2 linked regions of the Caenorhabditis elegans genome follow. The protein of the gene in region 1 interacts with the protein of each later gene in a pairwise test. Each region holds a gene or a part of one and is shown on either strand. Other genes may lie near its edges. The genes, in order: rga-1 and papl-1.

Region 1 (6,329 bases):
GCGCCTTTAAAGAGTACTGTAGTTGTCAACTCGCGAATTCTCTCATAAATTTTAAAAGATAGCACTTCTGAAAAAGTTATGAAAATTGATACAGTACTCCTTAAAGACGCATACTCTTTCCCAATAAAGCAAAGCGGTCGTTTCGAGACCCGATACTGTACTTTTATGCGAAAATCGCCAAATTTTGCATCTACCTTATGATAAATCGTATATATTTTTTTTCGCTTGAATCTTATTCCTTAAATTTTTTTTGTTAAATTAAATTTTCCAGGTACCATGCCTTGCCCAACTCAAGTCTCTGGTCGCTGTGTCGCCACGACTGCCGCCGTTCTCGCGGGAGGAGCTCTTATTGGATACCTTGTAAGTTCAAGCCTTCCCCTGATGTAGCCTCTTCAATTTCACTAATTAATTTCAGGTTGGTTACAAGTTCGGACAGCGTTCGGCTCGCTGCAACTACAAGATCCAGCTCGACTCGAATAAGATCGTCGACACCGTCGATATTGAGGATATTGGAGAGAAGAAGGCATTCTGCAGATGCTGGAAGAGCGAGAAGTGGCCATACTGTGACGGATCACATGGAAAGCACAACAAGGAGACTGGCGACAATGTTGGCCCACTCATCGTCAAATCCGAAAAGAAGTAAACGTCGTCTCGACAAATCATTGATCTTCATTATCTATTGACTTCTAAATGTTCTTGTGATCGTCGAAAACCATCGGTTTTATATGATTTAGTACGGATACAGTGAATTAATTTTTAGTATAAATGACAAGTGTTTTGAATTTTATTTAATATGGATGCAATAAATAAATTACAGTAAGGCAAAAAAGTACAGAAAAACGGGGGAAAATGCAAAAGCTGAACACCCTAATGATCAATGATCAAATACTGAATCATAATCCACAATTAATTTATAGCAGAAGTTATTGAGGTTATTCAATTGAGAAATCGGCACTTCTTGATCCGTTGGCCACGTCAAATTTGGACCGAAAACGACACTCAAATTGTTTGCAGTCATCAGATTCACTTTGCTGTTTTCGGCGACTCGAGTTAGGAATTTGATGACTGTTTTCAGAAGAATGTAGTTTTCACGAGGCAGAAGCTTCACAAATTCTTTCACGGCGGCGCTTTTCTCGGTTTTCGATACTTCTGAAAGATTCAGATATTAAATAAACACTGTTTTCAATTGACTTTAAATATTTTCTCACCTGAAAGAGCCGCAAGTTTCGGATAAAGCCTATTGGTCGTTAGGGGCTCTCCGAGGCTCCTGAAGAACGTCTTCAAAAGTACAGAAGCATGCAGGGAAGCCACGTATTCGTTGTCCTTGTACTCTGGATCATTTTCGAAATCAATTTTTTCGCCTGAAACAAATATTTAAAATTAAAATCAAAATCAAAATTCAATTTCCTAGCCTATTAAATACCTTTATTAATTCTATCCTGTAGCCTCTTTATACTTCCAATATTAGCACTTTTCCTGAAAACTCCTTCCATTGTCAACGCGTGAGCTTCCAGATACTCGATGAGCTGGTCAACGATTGGAGGGATGTTTCCACCACAGTGAGACAGGATGCTGAAAATTTGTTTATCTTAATATTAATTAATTTATTTATTTAATTAATTTAGTTTATAAAAATCACGTTTGAATGACATTTCTGGGAAAACGTGGGAAATTTATTGGAAAAAAAAAATTCTAAATAAAAAAAAAAGAATTTTCTTAGAGTTTAGAATTTAGAATTTATTTCCGAATCTTTCACTGGTCGGTGTTCGAATCAAATGGACGGTGTTCGTATAAAAAATGGTGAGTTGTTATATTTTTTAATATTTTTAGTTTATATATATATATAATAATTTCAGACTTTTATAACAATCATACTAATGATTTAAAACATCAAATCGCGCAATTGGAGAGAAAAACCGCCACAATTCCAAAACTCGAGAATCAATTGCATAAAGCAAAGAATCAGAATAAGGTGCTACGACGTGAATCGGCACTTTTCCCGTCAGCATCTTGCGCTGATGTATCCAGAGTTGAAGATCAAAAAGTGAAGACTTTGAGAAATGAATTGGCGGATCTTAAGTTGAAACTTCGGCAGTTGGAAGATGACAATAAGGAGAAAGACATGGAAAATGACAGGCTGATTCAGGAGAATCGAACTTTGAAACGTGAAAAGCTGAAGCTTATCAACTGTTTTAAAACCCAAATGGCTGAAAAGGACGCCATCATTCGTGAACTCAACGATGAAGTTGTTGATCTTCGTGGCCAAATTCGCGTGGCAATCCGTGTTAGAGATTTTGAGAGAGATGGATCTTCCAACTTTAGCATCATCTCACAAAATGAGGTTCAACTCCAGCAGGTACGAATTTTTGATTTTAATACTTCAAGTTTAAAGCACATATTTTCAGACCACCGGCCAATCCAACACCTACAGTTTCGAGCACGTCTTCTTTCCTCCGACCGCCCAATCCGGAGTTTTCGGTGAGATCAAGGAGTTGATCATGTGTGCGCTTCATGGAAAAAATGTGTGTCTCATCGCCTACGGACCAACTGGAAGTGGAAAGACTTTCACGATGCGAGGAGAAGATAGTGCTGATTCGGAAGGAGTCATTCCACGTGCTATTCGATTTATGCTGGAGCAATCAAAGAGAGATCTTGCGATGATTGGTTGGAACTACAAATTCCAAGCATCCTTCATTGAAGTTTATAACGAAGAAGTCTATGATTTGTTGGATGGGAAGCAGAAGTTGGAGGTTAGATAATCTCATCTTATTATCTGTATTTTCAATATTTTGCAGGTAAAGATAAATGGATCGAAGACGAATGTAGTTGGACTGAAGAAAATCGAAATAGGAAACATCTCCGACGTTGATGTGATTCTGAATCTTGCCGATTCGCAAAGATCCGTAGCTTCAACAGCATCTAATGAGCATTCATCTAGATCTCATGCAATTTTCCAAATCTTCGTTGATGGGCAAAACGCCTCTGGTGAGATGGTTCAATGCTGTCTCAACTTGGTGGACTTGGCTGGTTCCGAACGGGCGAAGGAGACGCAAGCTCGTGGGAAGCAGTTCACCGAGCTCACAAACATCAACCAGAGCTTGAGCACTTTGAAAAAATGCATCCGAGCTCAAATGACGAAGATGTCGCATGTTCCATATCGTGACAGTAAGCTCACAATGGTGCTTCGCGAGTATTTGGGTGCAGGATCGTCGAAAACAATGTTCATTGCTCATGCGAATCCTCGTGATGTTGCCGAAACCAAACGGACATTGGAATTCACTTCCGAGGTATTTGTGCATATTTTTTTTCTGACATATCTTTTAAATTTCAGCTTCGTTCAACAAATTTGGGAAAAGCAGTTGTTCAAACAGGACAAAAACTATGAACTCTTTTTAGTTTTTAGACATTTTTGAACTGTATTGAATAAAGACTTACAACTCGAGAGGAACTCCAAACTGTTGTGTTGGCAGAGGTTGAGCTGGTGGTGTTTCAGGTCGATTTGATTGAGTTGAAAATGATTTATCATGATCTCGAATTGGACTTGGAAGATTTAATCTGAAAATAATCTTTTTTATAACAATTTAAAAAATTAAAAAATAAGAAAAGAAAAAACGAACCTTGCCACTGAAAGTGCGTTCTCCAGCTCGTCTATACACATGACATAGTGGAACTTGTTCTCAAACTTGCTCGATATGAAACCTTTGAACAGCGAGAAGATAATGCGGATGAATCGTGTTGGATGCACTACGTAGAGCGCTTTCAGGTTCTTTTTGAATCTGGAAACCGGTTTTTTTGAAAGAGAAGAGATGAATTGAATTCAAATACTTACCTACGATCAAGTTGTTTGTAAGCCTGGAACAGCCACCGTACCGGTGGTTTGTTGTGACTTCGTAGGCCATAGTGAAAATAGACAATTGTGTAGTCTTGGTCAACGATCTGGAAAATTGCAAATTTTATTTTTATCAAAATATTATATTTATTAAAAATTCCCAACCTTATCAATAATTTGTACCAAATACTGTAGAAGTCTGGCATGATCTATTTCCTTGCTTGATGGGAGCCGATAAGCATATACGACAACAATTGGCCTGCAAACTATGATTCATTAAAACAAAAAAGATAATTAATTTTTGGATTCAAATTAATTTACCTTCCAACTCGATCCCCATCAGCAATTACTTGAATAATTTCGTGAGCTGATATGTCGTTGAAAAGATCTTCGAACGGTTCAACACCTCCAAGCTCTGTCTCGAATTCTTCAGTTTCCAGAAACGATCGAGATGGCGTCATTCCAGTGACACTTACTGAAATAAACCAGTTTTCTATTAAATTAAATATCAATAATTATTATTCCACTTACCGCTTAGGTCATCCGGTGTGAGAAGGTCATCATCGGCATAGCCATCCACCGGATCTTCGAATTCTCCAAGATTTATGTTGGGATCTGATGGACCTGATGGATCCGGAGGATGTTTCGTGTCCATTTGCTGAAAATCTTAACAGTGAAATTTTCATTAAGACAGGGGCAAGGTAATTGACTACACACACTTGAGAATTTGGAAATATTTTAAGTTTCTAAGAAAATGATTCGTATAATAAATATCATATAATAAGTAGGCATATATAATGACCAATCAATATGTTTGAAAACATGTGTCAGATGGATTGCAGCGTGAGGTGAGAAGTGTTGGGTGAGAGATGTGAGGGAAAACAAGACGCAGACACACACACACACACCGGAAGAGAGGGTACGGTTATGAGGGGAGAGACCGAGGGAGATTGAGGAAGAAATGGACGAACAGTGCAGTATGTACCAAACGGCTTTTATGTTGAAAAAGAGAAAGAGAGAGTGGAGAGGAAGGAAACACTCCGCCGCGCCATTTGACAGCAGCGCCGGTTTTTATGAGATTCGTATCAAGGGAAGATGACGTTTTTTCTTTTGGATTGATTTAGAGAAAGCCCAGATTGCCATCAGCACTGAATATTTTCTCGTTGAATTTATTGTGTCTAGCCAGCTGTTTTGTGAGCGAGAATGAATGAAATTGATATGGGGTCACGACACAGCGCAAATATAGTGTCCAGTGGTCGCGGCGCTCGCCAAAAATGTCATTTCAATGAGAGGATTTTGTGTTTATTCAGCAAACGGTCGACGGGGATTACCAGTTTACTATTGAATCAAAAATATTTGAGAATTAAACAATTAAATTTTTAATTAAAACAAAATAAAACAAAAAAAAACAGCTTCTTTTCTAGGCCATGGCCTAACATGTTCTAGGCCAGTGTAGATTTACGGCACATTTTCTCTTAAATAATTATTTCGTTTTGAAAACGTTTTCAACGTGTATTCAACCGGAATGCGATGGGAATTGGCTCCAAAATATTGGAAAATAATATTCAGAAATCAATTTCACTTGGATTCTATCATTCACATTCGGAAGTAAGTTTTAAATCGGTTGAAATAACATTTTAATAGTTTATTTCAGCTTCGCAAGAGTTTCTACGAATTTTTCAAATCGAAAAATCACGAAATACTCAGATCTTCATCTGTAATTCCAGACGAAAACGATGGAACCTTGTTATTTACAAATGCTGGAATGAATCAGTTCAAGCCATTAATTCTATCATCAACCGAATCTAGAAGAGTTGCAAATATTCAAAAATGCATTAGAGCCGGAGGAAAACATAACGATCTCGATGACGTTGGAAAAGATTTACATCATCAAACATTTTTTGAAATGATGGGCAATTGGTCGTTCAATGATGCATTCTCAAAAGTTGTTTAACGACGCATTTCTCTCTGAATATCTAATATTTTATTTGCTTTCAGGAGGAAGCATGTCGATATGCATGGGAATATTTGGTGGAAATTCTAGGAATCAATGCAGATAGATTGTATGTTTCCTATTTCGGTGGAATCGAGAAGCTCGGATTACCGGAAGACCGTGAATGTCGAGAAATTTGGAAACGAATTGGAGTATCGTCAAATCGAATTCTTCCATTTGTCGCTGAGAATTTTTGGGAGATGGGTGCAGCTGGTCCGTGTGGTCCTTGCACCGAGATTCATTATGATAGAATCGGCGGAAGAGATGCTTCTCGATTAGTGAATATTGATGATTCAGTTGTAGAAATTTGGAATATTGTCTTCATGAGCAGCGTCAGAGATTCATGTGGTCAAATTCGACATTTGGGAAAAAACCACATTGACACAGGAATGGGATTCGAACGTCTTCTATCAGTTGTCCAGAACAAAACTTCAAATTTTGACACTGACGTGTTCACACCGATTCTAGAAAAGACCTCCGAGCTGGCAAAAAAGCAATACACTGGAA
Region 2 (4,664 bases), on another chromosome or scaffold:
GAGGTCCTGATATTATCATTCTTGATGAACCTACCAATAATCTCGATATTGAATCCATTGATGCTCTGGCAGAAGCAATCCGGGATTTCAATGGTGGTGTTGTGATGGTTACTCACGACGAGCGACTGGTTGTTCGAACGGATTGTAATCTTTGGGTTGTTGAAAATCAAGGAATTGATGAGATTGACGGAGACTTTGAGGACTACAAGAAGGAAGTACTTGATGCACTTGGAGAAGCTCTTGTTAGCAAGAAATAGTTTTTAAATTTCATTTAGTTGTTCTTCGTGATTTTGTTCCGATTTTTCGTTAATTTTTGCAATGTCTTGCTTCGGTGTCGTTTTTCTTTATAATATCAAGTTCACGTTTATTTTTATTGTTGGCATAAATAAACACACTTTTACATGGTCGAGTTGAACAACTCAAGTTTATAATGATTTCTGAATTTACAACAATACAAATCAATCTCGTCTTCGACATGAGCAGCGTTGAAAAACTTCTTAGGTATGATTCGGATTCATTATTATAATTATTATTGTCATAATAGATTTGAAGACAAGGACAAGTAAATCAAGAGGATCTTCTAACTGAGAGAGCAGACAATCTTCTCAATGAATTTATCCGTCCGGAAGATTCAACATATGGAGATACCAAAGGAAAGAAGGAAGAAACGAAAACTTCAAATACAATTAGAGTTAGAAGAACAATGGTAATTACGGATCATGAGTCGGTTAGGAAATTATTATTAAAATTAGAGACTTATCGTAAATTCGTATTGAATTGCAACGTCACCTTCAAGGTACATGCTATAATAAACACTACCGTAACCCTCAAAGGAACATACTCTTTCGAAGTTTTCAATTAAAAAGTTGTTGCGATCGTTTCGAGGCCGAGTTCCAAATTTCTTTAATGAACATATAATTCCACATTGGATATTTAATTTGAGAATCATATTTTCCAGATTAACTATAAAATTTCAGAGCTATTCTTCACGTGTTCTTCCCAATCATTGCATTCGGTGCTTCTCTTCTTCTGTTCATCCAAGTGCTCATTGCCATTGCAGCCGTCTACTATGGCTCTTAATGAACTTATTCTCTTAAATTTCTCAATAAATCAATTTCATTTTGTTCTTATCAGGAAATTGTGTGCTCTGCGAATAGACATGCACATGTACTGTCCGAATATAATCCGATTGATCACACTTCACGTTTCGTTCCTTTAGTTTCACATGTAACCATTTCATTTTTTGCAAGTCTAGTTTTTGATCGAAAAGTTGTGGCTTCACTGAAAATATATGCAAAGTTTTCCCAAAAAGTTATCCACTCTCAAATGCATTCGAGTACTTTTCACACTTTGTGAGGAACACTCCAAATATTGGTAATTTTGACTCAGTATTATAAAGTTGCAAAAATTGATAGGAATCTAGATTGTTCCAATTAATTAGAATGGAAACATTATGAATTCTCGTATCTTTTCTCATTATTCAGAAATTGAGTACAAAAATATGTATCAAAACTTTTTTGAACATTCATCAAAATTACCAAGAAAATTCTATTTTCAAAATATCATTTTACCAAGTATTTTTACAGCCTCACTTTTTACTGTCTTGTTTTGCTGCAAATTGTCGTTCTGAAATTAAAATATCTACTTACGATTTACTAATTTTTGTTTTTTTTTTAAATTCCAGATGAGTATTCACATAACATTAACAGTAATATCATTATTAGTCACGAAATGTATATCCGAAGGAACAACTCCTGATCAAGTTCACATTTCATTCACCGGAGATATGACAGAGATGGCTGTAGTTTGGAATACATTCTCAGAAGGTAATTATAGAACACTAGGCAAGGCTGCGAGTTAGTAGCTTTAATTTCAGTTTCACAAGATGTTACCTATGGAAAAACCGGAAGTGGTGCAACATCAACTGCCAAAGGATCTTCTGAAGCTTGGGTGTTCGGAGGAATCACTAGATATCGGCACAAAGCAATTATGACCGGACTAGAGTATTCAACAGAATATGGTGAGAAAATGCTTAACTTATTATCTAGAATTGACACTCTATCAGTAGAGTCAAACCGATTTTTCTTTTGTCAAATAAATAGTTAGAACATTTTAGAGATTAATCGTCTATTTTTCGAGGAGTTTTTATACGTTTACGGAAGTAGTAAAATTAATTCAATGTACTTTTGTTACAATATTCCACTATTTTAATGCGTTCCTTCATGCAATCGCGAAGGTGTCTGGAAATTAAAATTGCATGTCTTACTACTAAGTAATAGACAAAATAAATATAATTAGTCACCTTCCTACATTCAGATTATACCATTGCATCTAGAAAGTTCTCATTCAAGACACTCTCAAACGATCCACAATCCTATAAAGTTTGTGTATTCGGAGATTTGGGATATTGGCATGGAAACTCAACTGAAAGCATCATCAAGCACGGCCTTGCTGGTGACTTTGATTTTATTGTTCATCTTGGTGATATTGCATATGATCTGCACACAAATAATGGGCAAGTCGGAGACAGTTACTTGAATGTATTTGAGCCACTTATTTCAAAGGTGTGTTTCTTAATCGATTGTGAATTAATGCATACATTTTAATCTGAAAGTTTCCAGGTTCCTTATATGGTAATTGCTGGAAATCACGAAGACGATTATCAAAACTTTACTAACTATCAAAAACGATTCTCAGTTCCGGACAATGGTCACAACGATAACCAGTTCTATAGTTTTGATCTTGGACCAGTACATTGGGTTGGTGTGAGTACTGAAACCTATGGATACTATTATGAATATGGAATGGATCCCGTAATGACACAATATGATTGGTTGAAAAGGGATTTGACTGTAAGTTATATGGAATTATTTTTGGAGTAAAGAAAATTATCAATTTGAAATCATTATCAATTTTATTTTTAAAATTATCAATTTTAATATCATCAGGCAGATGAGAAGTGTCAGTGTATTTCAAATACTATAATTTTCAATTTTCCCAGACAGCAAATTCAAATCGTGCAGCGCATCCATGGATCTTTACCTTCCAACATCGACCATTCTACTGTAGTAATGTGAACTCCGCTGAATGTCAATCGTTTGAAAATCGATTGGTGTGATGGAGTAAATTGTTTAATTTGGCTAATATGTCTGGTATTTAGGTTCGTACCGGTTGGCTGGATATGCCAGGATTAGAACCACTCTTTTTACAAACTTCCGTTGATTTTGGCTTCTGGGGGCATGAGCACTCGTATGAAAGATTCTACCCAGTTGCAGATAGAGCTTATTGGAATGATGTAAGTTTAACCAAAATTCAAAAACTTGATTATTAAAATTTATAGCCAAATGCTTACATTAACCCAAAAGCTCCAGTTTATTTGATTAGTGGATCAGCAGGTTGTCATACTCCAGATGCACTTTTCACTGATAAACCATGGCCATGGAGTGCTGCAAGAAATAATGATTATGGATGGTCTATTGTGACAGTTGCAAATAGAACACATATTAGAGTTGAACAAATTTCAATTGATAAAAATGAGCAGACTGTTGATGACTTTTGGGTTATTAAAGATGAAGGCCATATGCATTCTGGTGAGATGAGGTTAGTAGAGTTGGCTTTGAAAAAAGTTCCAAAAATTACTGTTTGTAGAAGAGCAAATCCAGGAGCAAAGTTTCCACTTCAAAAATGCCATTTCAAGGATGTCGCCTGTAAACGATCATTGAAGGAAATTAACGAAGAACTTTAAATTTTGTAAATAAATTAAAAATAAGAGCTTGTATAAAATATCTCTATTCATTTTTATGATTTTCGAAAAAAAAATAAAAGGCAGAGTAGAGTTTGTGGGAAATATGTAGCAAAAAATAAAAATAAACTTTATCAAAAATTTCAAGTTGTCAAATGCCAGTATATTTGAAACTTAAATTTTCGTTGCCGAGGTTATTCAGGTCCAGCAAAGTTTGGTATTTTGGGAGGTTCCCGAATGCGGCAAATTTGATTGGCCGTGGTGATGGCGTCAGTGTTCAAAATAGAAATTTCATATTTGTATGTGGTTTCCTAGATTTCTTCTTTTTGATTGCATGCATTGACGTATTTGTGAGAGCAGTTCCGTGGGAGTTTCTAGACAATAATATCAAGCTGTTGAATTGAATTTTGCAAATATGATATACATTAAAAATTTGAAACTTGCACACTCCAGACTGAACAGATTAAAATTAATGATGTGAGTTTCAGGTACAATAGGTATTTTCTATTTAAGAAATTATGAAACCGTACGCGGTAATACAACATATGAGTCAGAATAACTTCCATAGAGGGCGCGTCATTAACAATTTTGATTTTTTCTTCTTTTTCCAGATTTATACTCTAATTTTTCAAATACTTACGTCATCATAACTTTAATTTGATATATAAATACAATGCGTTGTATGTATATAGTCAGAAATATACATTTTGTGAACATATAACTAGAGAAAGATAGAATGGAATACAAGTGTAGAATATGGACTATACTTCAGATATTTTTTTTAACTTATAGATTTTGTTTAATTTACAGTTTTTGTCCAAAAATGACAATTTCCTCTTTTGATTGCATTTAGATATAATTTGCAGGGATCTAAACAAATTGGATCAAATAATATAAAAGTTTGATCAACAATTCTGACTAA

What was found.
Region 2: the proteins of rga-1 (region 1) and papl-1 interact in a two-hybrid assay, tested with the Caenorhabditis elegans proteins (one large-scale study listed by BioGRID).

What each region holds. Positions count from the first base shown.
Region 1 is NC_003280.10:11,463,052-11,469,380, reverse strand, and holds rga-1 (Rho GTPase-activating protein 68F), read right to left. Parts: upstream 4,488-6,329; 5' UTR 4,485-4,487; coding exon 4,361-4,484; intron 4,305-4,360; coding exon 4,151-4,304; intron 4,089-4,150; coding exon 3,995-4,088; intron 3,937-3,994; coding exon 3,830-3,936; intron 3,777-3,829; coding exon 3,618-3,776; intron 3,556-3,617; coding exon 3,436-3,555; exon of another isoform or gene 3,386-3,435; coding exon of another isoform or gene 3,332-3,385; intron 3,288-3,331; coding exon of another isoform or gene 2,796-3,287; intron 2,751-2,795; coding exon of another isoform or gene 2,406-2,750; intron 2,357-2,405; coding exon of another isoform or gene 1,857-2,356; intron 1,801-1,856; coding exon of another isoform or gene 1,776-1,800; exon of another isoform or gene 1,756-1,775; intron 1,573-1,755; coding exon 1,424-1,572; intron 1,362-1,423; coding exon 1,209-1,361; intron 1,150-1,208; coding exon 875-1,149; 3' UTR 728-874; downstream 1-727. Other genes in the region: cisd-1 (CDGSH iron-sulfur domain-containing protein 2 homologue), read left to right, coding at 272-360, 416-643; klp-17 (Kinesin motor domain-containing protein), read left to right, coding at 1,776-1,800, 1,857-2,356, 2,406-2,750, 2,796-3,287, 3,332-3,385; aars-1 (Alanine--tRNA ligase, mitochondrial), read left to right, coding at 5,360-5,437, 5,484-5,774, 5,828-6,329.
Region 2 is NC_003283.11:12,756,781-12,761,444, reverse strand, and holds papl-1 (Purple acid phosphatase), read left to right. Parts: upstream 1-1,684; coding exon 1,685-1,826; intron 1,827-1,876; coding exon 1,877-2,020; intron 2,021-2,316; coding exon 2,317-2,564; intron 2,565-2,621; coding exon 2,622-2,852; intron 2,853-3,001; coding exon 3,002-3,112; intron 3,113-3,160; coding exon 3,161-3,295; intron 3,296-3,340; coding exon 3,341-3,600; intron 3,601-3,648; coding exon 3,649-3,745; 3' UTR 3,746-3,880; downstream 3,881-4,664. Other genes in the region: abcf-1 (ABC transporter domain-containing protein), read left to right, coding at 1-257; F18E2.15 (uncharacterized protein), read left to right, coding at 476-501, 553-706, 978-1,097.